Linked DNA regions of Ovis aries. The protein of the gene in region 2 interacts with the protein of the main gene of each other region in a pairwise test. Links are inferred from orthologs where the notes say so. Each region holds a gene or a part of one and is shown on either strand. Other genes may lie near its edges. The genes, in order: FASTK, WIPF1 and WWP2.

Region 1 (4,164 bases), on a different chromosome or scaffold from region 2:
TGCGGGTTCTGGCCCTGAAGACTTGGTGGAGTGGGATCGACCAAGCTAAGACAGTGGCTAAGGATGTTTGGAGAAGTGCAGAGAACCAGGTGTACCTGGTGGGGAGTTGGACAAGCCAGTGGGGGTTTGAGCCAAGGTGGTACCCCAGGGGAGAGGCCAGAGAGCGTAGGTAGGTGGTCTGCTGCAGGAAGCAGCAGTCAATCAAGTGGACAAGATGAGGGGGGTGGGAGCTAGGCCTGCTGGGGTGTCTGAGGGCCACTAGGAGAGGAGCTTGGGAAGCTGAGGCAATCCCACCTTGCTATTGAGCTGGGCTTCCTGAACCACCAGGAAGTGGGCAATGGCTTCCAGAAGCTGGGGCTCCCTCAACCGGTGGCGGGCCAAGTGCTGCGCTAGGAGCACCATCACGTGGGGAGTCAGTTCCTCAGGCCTGGCCTCTGTGAAGAACAGCTTATCACGCTGGACCCTCAGGCCAGACCTGGGTGAGATTCCAGCAGATACTGCCTGCCTCCACCCCCCCATCACCTGTCCCCCGCTCTGACACCTGCCAGGCTGCGGATGAGGTGCTGCTGAGGACGCCGCTGGAAACGGGGACAGCTTAGAGCGGCTTCCAACCTTTGCCCACCTCGAAGGATAGGCGGCAGAGGGGGCGGTGGCTTCGGAGGGAGGCGGAACCTTCGCTCCTGCTCCAGGGCGCACATCAGGGGCCCATCTGATGGGAAGCCTGAGAGGCAGAGGGTCAAAGGAGGCAGGGAAGGAGCTGCTCTGCTCTGCAATCCTGCAGTTTTAGTTAGTGAATCCTCAGTCCTTCTCATCTCTGTTTTCTGGGCTGGAAGATCTGCTACAGAGCACGCGGAAACACCAGAGAAATAGGAACTACCACGTGAATAAAGGTATCACAACCGTCTGTGGGAAAGGCCTTATACAAAGAAGGCAGTAAGATCTCATCTCTTGCCAATGATGATCAATTGCAGTGGCTCCCTAGGGCACTGTATTAGAAGAGAACTGGTGGCTCAGTGGTAAAGAATCTGCCTGGCAATGCACAGGTTCGATCCCTGGGTCTGGAAGATCCCCTAGAGAAGGAAATGGCAACCCACTCCAGTATTGGGTTGAGGACTTGGTGGGTTATGGTTCATTGGATCGCAGAAGAGCCAGACACGACTTAGCGACTAAACAACAAAAAAGGGGGTGGCACCCTAACCTAAGCTGCAACTCATGCTGCTTGACTCGTGATGACTATCGTGGATACCGCAGAGGAGCAGCAAGTGTGGCATCACTCAGCAAGTGTGCCATTCCTGGCAAAGCTTGAGGTGGGTTCTGTCAGTGATCTCAGGTGGGTCTGCTACAGTTTCTCTATCCTTCCATTGACACCCACCCACCCATAGACACCGTCCTCACCCAGTAAGGCTGCAAGGTGCAGACACACGTGGATGGTGTGAATGTCAAAGGAGGGGCAGTTTCGGATGATGAGCTGACTCAAGTCCTGCAGTGTGGCCTGCTCCACAGGAGGGGGCTGCGGCAGAGACCCCAAGAGCTGGCTCAGACGACGAAGCGCCACAGGGTAGTGGTGGGCACGCACTTTGGTGGGGTTCTGCCCCAGCCAGCGTAGCAGCTCCCCAGGGCTCCTCGCCTGTTCCAGAAGCCGCTGCAATCCCTGCACAGGGCCTGCATGGGGGCCTCCTCCAGGAGGCCGGTGGTCTCCCCATTTGTTGGGTCCCAGACAGCAAGGCTGTACTGGTGGGAGCAGCAGCAAGCCAGACAGACGAGCACTGGAGGCCTGGGCAGAGAGCAGGACTCGAAGCATGGAGTTGGGTGCTGGAGACCCTGAGGGGTGGCCCAAAAAAGGGAGTGAGGTATTCTCCAAAGGGGAGAAAGACCAACTCTCTGTTCCTCACCTCGCTCCCCATCCAGAGGAGTCTGGGGACAGAGCAACCCGTATTCTCTTCACCCTTCTTTGTGACTGCTCTGGTCCTCTTCCCCAACCCGCCCCTCTCTGACTCCTTCCAACCTTTGCGAGAGCAATCGGAATCCTTCAGAGTTCTCGCGGAGGATTTTTTACAGAGCAATTCCACATGCATCATCTCCTCCGATCCTCCTCTGACACGCCCGTGAGGAGGCAGGCAGGGGCTGGTACTATCTCGATTTCACAGGTGGAGAGACCAAGGCCCAGGGAGGCGAGGGGGTTAAGGCAAGCCCCGAGGTCCCGAATCTGGTTAGTGGTCGCGCCCAGCCTGGAACCCAGCTCGCCGGACAGATACGCTCCCCCCCACCCCCGACCACCTCCCCCTCCCGCAGGAGGCGGCGGCGGTACCGGAGGGTGGAGCGCGGGCTCCGTGGTCCTGGGTTCCATGCTGGGCGCTCCCACTTACCAGCTGCGTGACCTTGGACAAGTGGCTTCGGTCTCCCTGCCCAAGCCTTCTCGCCTGTGAAACGAGAACGCAGGGCCACCTCGGAGGGCGCCCGTGGAGCCCGCGGGCGCGGCCTGCGCTACGGCGCGGAGTCGGCGGTGTCAGGGGGGCCCCCACACACACCCCCACCCGCGGCCCGGGGGGAATGCCAGGAGACCGTGGTCGCGGTCGCCAACACCAACTCCCGCCGCCCTTCCCCGCGGCCCGCCCCGCAGGCGCCACCCCTACATGACTCCCCAGGCCCCGCGCAGGTCGCTCCCTCGGTCGGTCTCGGGGCCCGGGAGCCGGGCTCCCCCCGCGGCCTCCTCATCAGGGGGCCACCGAGTCCTCCATCTTCCCGGCAGCCCCCGAACAGCGCGGCCCGGACGCCAATCGCCGCGCCAAGTAGGTCCTCCGCCAGCAAAGACGTGGCTCCCGGCAGGCCCCGCGCGCCAGGGCGCCGCGCGCCCCGCCCCCTGCTTCCGGGAAGCTGCGCGCGCGCGGCGCCGGGCTGGGGCGGGACCAAAGGCCTGGGGCGGGGTAGGGGCGGGGTAGGGGCGGGGCCAAAGGGCTGGGGGATGAGATTGGGGTGCAGAGGGGAGTGAGCAGCGGTTGGCCTGGGCGGGCAGGGCAGGGTAGGGCGAAGCATCTGGCCCACCCCTTTTCTCCCAGTAGGGCAGAGCTCCCCGTAGCCCCCCTCCTCCACGACCCACACACGCAGACACTAGGCCAAGAGTGAAAACGTCACAGTTATTTAATCTGCACGTGTTCCAGAAAGCCCCCTCCACCCATCCCGACTCCCCTTCTCCAGCCCTTCCCAGTCCTCGGGCCCCCAAACCAGCCAAGGAGCGATCCGGGACTAAGAGGTGCCCAGGTCCTCAGGCTGAGCCCTTAAGGGCCCAGGGGCGTGGCCCCGCTCTGTCCAGGGCCAAGGCAACTACAGCAGCTGTCTGACTTGGGGTAGCCCACTGTCAGGGGGCGCTGAGGGCCAGCTGCCCCGGGAGGTGGCCCAGAGCCATGAAGGTCACAGGGAGGGGCTTCCGCCGCCCCTCGGAGTGCTCTGCCGCGCAGCGCTGGGCTCCAGGGTAGTGGGAAGAGGCAGGTCGGAGAGGCGGGCCTGGGCAGACAGCAGCTCCCACCTTGTCGTGGCGAGCAAGGTCCCGAGAGGCCGGTGGCGTGGCCAAGAGCCCGTGGAGGCACTACGGGCGGTACATGGCAAAGGCCAGGAGGCTGAGGAGCAGGGTGAAGCCGGCCAGACCCAGAGTGGCGGTCAGGGGAAAGAAGGGCCGGTACTGGATCTGGCAGTACCATAGCAGAAGCAGCAGCAGGAGGAGCAGGGGCAGCAGCAGGCTGCCTACTTCCAGCCCTGAGGGGCCTGGCTCGGACCCCGGTGGGCAGGGCGGGAGGGGGGGACCCACCCGTGTGGACACGTGGCAGTGGAGGACACAGTTGGGAGGGAGGTGAAGGCTGCCCAGGGTCTGGGTGTCGTCTCCTAGTAGCTGCCCTTGGTAGATGAGTCGCACGTGCTGTTCCCGGCCGGGAAACTGGGTCCTGAGGAGAGAGGGACCTGGGTAATAGAGCGAGTCTCAGGCACTCCTGGCCCCTGGTCCGGAACAACTCTCCTACCCTCACCTCTGGCCTCCACGGTGTGTGTGTGTGGGGCCCTTCTGCTTCAGGGGAGCAATACAGTGTGTGACTAGGGGCCTCAGTTTCCTCATCTATAAGAGGATCTCCGGGATCTCTGCTGGTCCTTCTAGGACTGTGATCATCCCCGCCCTAC
Region 2 (3,542 bases):
GCAGGTGAGTGTTGAAATGAATTTGCAAATAGGTGTAAAATAGGTCAATAATCAGTTGAATTACACTGAACACAGCTAATATGCATTTCTGTGGACAAATACGCATTATTTTCAGTTTTCTACAACTTACAGAGTTATAGACTACCTCAAAGGCAATGGGAAATGACCCAGAAGGCTAACTGGATACTTGGTAATCCTTTTCTTTCTTCTTCTTTTCCCTTTTTGTTGGTCTGCCCATTTCAGAATCTTTCACAATTTTTTTTTTTGGCAACAAATGCAAACTAAAACAATCTTTACATTGTCTCAAGTTGCAAAGAATTTTTAAAATGTTAAAGTCTACTGTTGCTTTTTATGATATTAAAAAATTGAAATCAACCTGAAAGGCCATCAAATAAGTAAATGGTTAAATAAATTACAGCACATTCATGTTCTAAAACACAATGCAATCCTTTAAACTCATGCTTTCAGAGAATATTTAATAACATGGGAAATGCTAACAATATTGAGTGAAAAAAGCAGACTAAAAACTATGTAGTGAATTTGGTCTTAATTTTAAGAAAAAAAGTATATCCAGTGAAAAAACTGGCAGGGGAAAAAATATACAAAAACAGCAGGTATTTCCATGAAGCAGAATTATGGGATATTTTACTTTATTCTATTTTTACCTGTTCCTTTCTTCTCACCTTTTATTGCATCTTCTCCTCCCTTAACACATTCTTTCTTTTAAGATACTTTTATTTGCCAAATTTTCTGATACAGAGCAAATAGATATTATTAATTCATATGGCAGTGAGCCATGTGGAGGAAAGACATTATCTATTACCAATTCTTCCACCACAGGGCTTGAGATAGCCCTGGAGTAGAAAGAACCCTCTTCTGCTTTTCTGACTAGAGATAGGGTGAGTCCTTAAAATCCTACCCTCTAATGAAATCGCAGTTGTCCACCATGGGCTTAGGGTCAGCCAGCTTCCTGCTGTATCATTATTGTTTACCTGGGCCAGGACTGGTGGAGTTCTCCGGCAGTGTCTTCATACATGTGAAAAGAATGTGTCTTCTTCCTTCTACAGAACCTAAAGGAGCTGCTGGTGGTGGTGGTGGCGGCGGCTATGGCGGAGGTGGCGGCGGCTATGGCGGAGGTGGCGGCGGAGGAGGTGGTGGAAGTTTTGGAGGAGGTGGACCACCCGGTTTGGGAGGACTGTTCCAGGCTGGAATGCCGAAGCTGAGATCCACAGCCAACAGGGAGAATGGTAAAGAGCATTTTCTTCCCTTAGTAACCGAAGACTAAGGCACAATCTGGCGGTTTGAGATTTGGCATCCCCTCTAAGGCACTATGCCCTTTAAAACATTTTAGATTGCTTGAAACGCTAACACCGTTTTATAAGAGGGACTCTATTTAGCATCGTTTTTTCTTTTTAAATCAGGATCAGACAGCTCCATCTAGCTGTTAAATATTTGCCCAGTGTCCTTGGGGAAACTTGTACTTTTTTGTACTTTTCTAAAGGGTGAGCTAGATTGGAAAGAAAAGGAAGGAGCAAATGAGAGAAAAATCATGGAAACTCTGTCTGGTGACATGGCAGATTCAGCTTTCTTTGTGAGGTAGTCTGACCTAGCTGTCTAGTGGAGTAAATACTTGTGAGTCTCTTTTCAAACACACAGTGGAGCATGTCTTAGAGAATATAATTACATATCTCACAAAAATCTAGAAGGGCATTTTGCCTGGCAGACATTTGCCATTTCAGGGCCAGCGATTCTAGTATTCTCTGCAGGAAGCCATGGAAATGGGTCCTATAGGAATGTCTGTGAACAGAATGGCAGAAAGAAAACTGAACCTGGTCATGCCTAAATTAAAAACCTTATAGAGTGCGTGAGGCTCTTCCCTGATTGTGACAGAAACTCAAGAAAGTTTTCCATGAAATTTTATTTTTTAATGTTTACTGTGCTAGAAGAATTTTATTTTTAATTCCATGGTCTTTTAAAATGTCACTGGGAAATTCTCACATTCACATGAAGATAAAGGCACTGAATCCTCAGAGTTAGCTGACTATGTTAGTTTTGGATTGTCAAAATCTAGAGGGAGACTCACTAATATAAGAGATTTTATCTTGCTAGGCCTGCATTTAGAATTTGTATATTTAAAACCTACTGAAAGGTTTTGAGGCAGCAGACATATGCATACGTTCAGTACTCTAATAGTAAGTGAGGAAATTTAGGCCAGAGACAACTGGAAGTAAAATAATTAAATGAAGATGGAATTGAAGTTAATGCACAAAATGGTGTACCAGAAGTATATACTTTCACAGCATACAATTTGCATATTGGGTCCTACATGTAGATGTAGCTATGGATAATAACTGTACCTTTAGGGCTTCCCTGGTAGCTCAGTGGGTAAAGAATCCACCTGCAGTGCAGGAGACCCTGGTTCAATTTCTGGGTCGGGAAGATCCGCTGGAGAAAGGATAGGCTACCCACTCTCTCTGGTATTCTTGGGCTTCCCTTGTTGCCCAGCTGGTAAAGAATCCACCTGCAATGTGGGAGACCTGGATTCAATCCCTGGGTTGGGAATATCGCTCGGAGAAGGGAAAGGCTACCCACTCCTGTATTCTGGCCTGGAGAATTCCCTGGACTGTATAGTCCATGGGTTGCAAAGAGTCTGACACAACCGAGCGACTTTCACTTTCATCCAAACTTTGAAGATAAAACTTATCACAAGTTGGTGACATAGAAACATACCACACAGCCAAGGAAAATATAGCTAATTTCTAGTGCTAAAGTCAAAACAAAAAATTCTCTCTAGAGTTCACATTACTCCATTGTATAAATCCAGCCAAATGTTTCTCATTGGACTTTTGGGTGAAATCTGAACTCCTTTTGGCCTACAAGGCTCTTAATCACCCGGCTTCTGCTGACCACTCAGGCTGCATTTGACAGTGTTCTCCTCTGTGCTCACTGTGTCCCTGGCATATGAGCCTTGGTTTTTTAACTTAAGCTTACTTCCACCTCAGGGTCTCTGTACCTGCTGACACTCCAACTGAAGCACCTCTCTTCCTCCTTTCCATGGCTGGCCTTAGCTCAAATATCACATCCCAGAGGAGCCATCCCCAGCCATGTCCACCTATCCTGGCCTCTCTAGAACTCTTCATGTCATCAGCCTATTTTAGTTTATTTTTAGTACTTATAATGATCTGAAAATATTTATGTTTACCGGGTTTTTGTTCATCTCCGTAAGAACATAAACTACAAGAGAACTGGATTGTTTCTATTTTGTTTACTCCTCTGCCTCTAGCATCTAGAATAATGGTTGGTTTATAGTATAGCAGGTACTCAATAAATAATTGGTGCATGTTTAAACTGGTAGGAGTTTCCAGGCTAAGCATTTTTTGAAGAATGAATTTGGGTTGCAAGAGACTCTGCAGTAGTGATTTGAATTTTTCCATAACTTTGGTTCCTCTTTAGTTCTGCCCTTTGCTGAACCAAAGCAGTCGAACATTAATTATGTAGTAGGGTGGTTCTGTCCTATATTATTGAAGTGGAACGACCTACTA
Region 3 (4,126 bases), on a different chromosome or scaffold from region 2:
CTTGCTAGCTAATTTCTCCTTTTTTCCCCACCACGTCACTCGCCCATTCTCAGGCGACCCACTGCAACTCAATCCCCCAAGTCGCCCCTTCCCCCTGCCCCGCTTCCTCCACAAAGGTCACTCCTCTTCATGCCTGGCACCTATGATGCTTTCCCTTTCCGGAACGACTTGCTGGCCGCCGCACTCAGGACGGCCTTCGCGCCCACCTCGGAGCAGCCCCCGCGCTCGGCCAGCGGCGCGCCCACCCCGCTCGGGCGGGAGTCGGGACACCCCTCCTCGGAGGCCGGAACCGCCGCGCCAGGCCCCTCCCACAGGAAGCCGCCGCCCCCCGGCGCCGGGGCCGCGCCTCCCCCGGCCCACCCCGCGCCGCCCGCCGCCCCCGGACTTCTCCGAGCCCCCACCCGCCCGCTGCGTCCCCAGTGCCCGCGCTGGCTACCTGCAGCGGCCACAGAAGCGGCGCCCAACTCCTCTCCCACTTCCGCTTTCCACAGACCGCACTCGGGCCAGGTCACGTGACCACGCGCGGTCAGCTGACCCGGAAGAGGCTGGCCGGGTCTCAGGTGTGGGCAACCTAGGCCAGGCCTGAGACCCTCTGGCCAGAAGGCCTTCTTGTCCTTTGTATGTTTAAAAAGTGGGAGGATTTTCCACTTGCTAGATGGTCTCCCAGCAAACAAATTGAAATCTCGCAGAGTGCCAGGCGCTTCGTTTACTCCTCCCATCAACGCTGAGGGCGTGTCTATCTTAGCCCCATTTTACAGGTGAGAGGAGGCGTTCAGTCTATTAAGTCAGCAGATATTTATTGAACTCCTTAGGGTTAACAGACAAGATAAAATACAGAACACCGACTTAAATTGTAATTTTAAACTGCCATTAATACGGAAGTGTGCCCCAAATATTGTCTGGTACAGTACATATTTATAGTTTAAAAAAACTAGTTGATACTCATATGTAATCGGCATCCTATGTTTTAATTTGCTATATCTGACAACCCTAAGCCTACTATGTGCCAGGCACGTTTCTAGGCTCTAGAAACTCGAAAGTAGCTTTTGTGGAGCATCTGTTCTTGTGACATAAAACAAAGGTAGAAAATCACTGAAACCTTTGCTGTTGTCCATAAGATGCCCCAGCACAGCAAACTAGCCCTATTTTGATAATATATAGATTAGGTAGAACTTTATGAATTGGAAAATAAAATATTTTAAGTCAGTATTCTTTACCGATGGTCAAGAATTTCAGCTTTGACAAGTTGAATAAATTTTTCACTTTCAATCAGCATTAACTAAAATGAGTATGAATCAACTAATTAGCCTTAAGCACTGTGAACTAATTAGTCTTATTTTTAGGTCTTCCAGGTGGAGGGATCAGATATGCATACAAATTAAACTGGTTGAGCATTTAGTCTCTACTTTTCCCATCCCAAATCCATCCAGGAGATGGCCTTTAAAGGAGCTACAGTCCTCTGTTAACACCTTAATTCTTACAGTAATCCCATCTATAAAACTATTAAAATTTCCCTAGTAACAGTCTTTAGATGGGAGCGGTACTAATTCTATTCTAGGGGAAGGCCTCTTTGATTTGGTGGCATTTGAGTAGGTGTTCACCAAAAGAAAAAAAGGGATTAGCCAAGGCAGTCTCTCACTGTGAGTTAAAGGAGTAAAAGCTTGATATATATCCTGAATAATGGCAGCCCACTCCGGAACTCTTGCCTGGAAAAATCCCATGGATGGAGGAGCCTCGTAGGCTACAGTCCATGGGGTCGCAAAGAGTCCGACAGGACTGAAAGACTTTTCTTGCGCTTCACTTTTCTTTCATAAATTCTCTACATGGTCCCTTCCACCCCTCCCCTTTGTTTATCTCATCTCCAACTGCAGTTTCACTCAGTACCTTGCTTCAGCCACTCTAGCCTGAGGGTCTGTGGACTTGGCTTTTCCCTCTTCCTGGAAAGCTCTTTTCCTGGGTAGTCAATTGGCTCACCCCCTCATCTCTTTCATATGTTTGCTTAACTGTCCCTTGCAGTGAAGCCTTTCCTGGTCACACTAGTTTAAATCGCAACTCATCTCTTCCTTTCCCCTCCTACCAGTACCTTCCTGCTTTGTTTTTTCTCTCCGTAATTCCTCAACTTAGCACTATCTGCCTTTCACATGAATGTGTATATGTATAATCTGTTACGTTACCCCCTACAAAAAAATTATGAAGACAGGAGCTATAACCCAGCTTCCAAAGCAGTACCTGGCCAATAGGAGGCCTCTTTAAATAATCCGTTGAATGAACAGGCTACATCAACTTTTACTGAGCACTGAACTGGCTTCTATAGGTCCTGCAATACAGGAGATATTTTAAGACACATAAAAAATCTGAACTATGTCATCATGAAAGCACCCAAAAAAAACTAAAAAGAAGTTGAAATGTTCATTTAAGGAAAAAGGCCCCTAAAACAGTCCCTGACTTCTAATCTACTTAAAGAAGACAACCAAGTAACTGCAATGCAAAGCAGAAGTAATAACTGCTCATTGAGGGCTAGATTTGAAATGTCTTAAGTATGGTGGGAAATAAGGGTCCAAATCTGTCCTTGGAGAAAACTCTGATTTGGGTAATCAGGACAAGTTTACAGAGGGAACAACAGAGTGGCTTCTTGGAGACTAAGTAAGTGGGGGTTGGCAAGAAGAATTTTCAGGCAGAAGAGAAAACAAGGTCAAAGGCAGAGATAAGAAAGTCCGGGACACTCCCAGGAAAGTCCAGAGGAATTCTAGATATACTTACTGAATTCAAGTCGCGTTTCTTCTGCATCAAGTTTTTCTCTTCCCTACCCAACTGTTAAGTGTAAAGTTTTATAGCCTGTAAATTTTCTTGGAAGTGAAGTCAGATCTTCACTGGCACACAATCAAGACCTTTTCTCTTTCATAAAGGGTCTCACATGTTGAAGTTGTCATTATCTCCAAATGAGTTATACATGGGTCCTTCTACATATGTTTGCTGCTGCTGCTGCTAAGTCACTTCAGTCGTGTCCGACTCTGTGCAACCCCATAGACAGCAGCCCAGCAGGCTCTGGTGTCCCTGGGATTCTCCAGGTAAGAACACTGGAGTGGGTTGCCATTTCCTTGTCCAGTGTATGAAAGTGAAAGTGAAGTCGCTCAGTTGTGTCCGACTCTTCACAACCCTATGCACTGCAGCCCACCAGGCTCCTCCCTCCATGGGATTTTTCCAGGCAAGAGTACTGGAGTGAGTTGCCATTGCCTTCTCCACTACATATGTTTGAAAGTGTTCATTTATTAAGGTAAATTGTTTCCAGTGACAATAATTTTCATAATTTTGAGATTTCTTCACTTTCTATGTTTCAAGGTTCAATTCACTTCTGGGTCCTCTGAGGTTTTGTGTGTTTTTTGTTTTTGTATTTTGGCAGCATGTGGGATGGTTTCTCAACCAGAGATGAAACTGGGGTCTCCCAGTGAAAGCTCCAAATCCTAACCGCTAGGCCACTAGGGAATTTCTTCCTTCACTTCTGAGAGAACCTGTCCCCAGACACCCTCAGCTACCAAAGACATTACCCTCAACTCCCTGAACACTCCCTTTGGATTTTCAGACCTCATGAGTCTTTGCCCTCATCATCCTTCAAGATGTGGCTCCAAAGCTTAGGCCTCTAAACTCAAACTTGCCCCTCGACACTACACAGGATATAATTTTGTTCATAGCTATTACATCACCCAAATCATGGTGGTGTAAATTAGCTCTCAGTATGTATTTTTTCACCAAATGACAGTCCCAAGGCTTCAAGGGACTTGGAGACTAACATTACAGGGAAAAAGAAAAGGGATTAAAGTATTGCCAAAAAATAACAAAAGCTACAAAGTGTCAAGAAACCTATATTGACAGGTATTTTTAATGTTTACTAGAAAAAGAATGGCTCAAAGCCTGATCTTTCTTTTCCTGACTATTCTCCTAAATCAGTGGTTCTCAAGTGTGACCCCAGGTCAGAAGCATCAATGTCACCTGAAACTTACTAGAAAAGCAGCTTGTCCAGCTCTGCCCAGATGTACTCAATCAGAAACTGGGCTGGGCTTCTAGTTCTGCAATCTCTGCAGGTGATTCTGATTTACACTCAAGTTGGGGACCATTGATCTAGGTCATT

What was found.
Region 1: the proteins of WIPF1 (region 2) and FASTK interact in binary tests that used the Homo sapiens proteins (3 or more experiments, as listed by UniProt). The two-hybrid records come from large-scale screens. The link is inferred for Ovis aries from reciprocal best matches to the Homo sapiens genes WIPF1 and FASTK.
Region 3: the proteins of WIPF1 (region 2) and WWP2 interact in binary tests that used the Homo sapiens proteins (3 or more experiments, as listed by UniProt). The two-hybrid records come from large-scale screens. The link is inferred for Ovis aries from reciprocal best matches to the Homo sapiens genes WIPF1 and WWP2.

The regions. Positions count from the first base shown.
Region 1 is NC_056057.1:115,271,046-115,275,209, forward strand, and holds the start of FASTK (fas-activated serine/threonine kinase), read right to left. Parts: upstream 2,815-4,164; 5' UTR 2,716-2,814; coding exon 2,634-2,715; intron 2,607-2,633; exon of another isoform or gene 2,421-2,606; coding exon 2,367-2,420; exon of another isoform or gene 2,348-2,366; coding exon of another isoform or gene 2,309-2,347; intron 2,264-2,308; exon of another isoform or gene 2,079-2,263; coding exon of another isoform or gene 2,006-2,078; intron 1,822-2,005; coding exon 1,396-1,821; intron 722-1,395; coding exon 542-721; intron 435-541; coding exon 295-434; intron 1-294. Other genes in the region: TMUB1 (transmembrane and ubiquitin-like domain-containing protein 1), read right to left, coding at 3,584-3,935. UniProt on the Homo sapiens protein: Phosphorylates the splicing regulator TIA1, thereby promoting the inclusion of FAS exon 6, which leads to an mRNA encoding a pro-apoptotic form of the receptor.
Region 2 is NC_056055.1:135,480,675-135,484,216, forward strand, and holds part of WIPF1 (WAS/WASL-interacting protein family member 1), read left to right. Parts: intron 1-1,067; coding exon 1,068-1,247; intron 1,248-3,542. UniProt on the Homo sapiens protein: Plays a role in the reorganization of the actin cytoskeleton. Contributes with NCK1 and GRB2 in the recruitment and activation of WASL.
Region 3 is NC_056067.1:36,378,890-36,383,015, reverse strand, and holds the start of WWP2 (NEDD4-like E3 ubiquitin-protein ligase WWP2), read right to left. Parts: upstream 2,803-4,126; 5' UTR 2,788-2,802; coding exon 2,761-2,787; intron 511-2,760; exon of another isoform or gene 437-510; intron 300-436; exon of another isoform or gene 1-299. UniProt on the Homo sapiens protein: E3 ubiquitin-protein ligase which accepts ubiquitin from an E2 ubiquitin-conjugating enzyme in the form of a thioester and then directly transfers the ubiquitin to targeted substrates.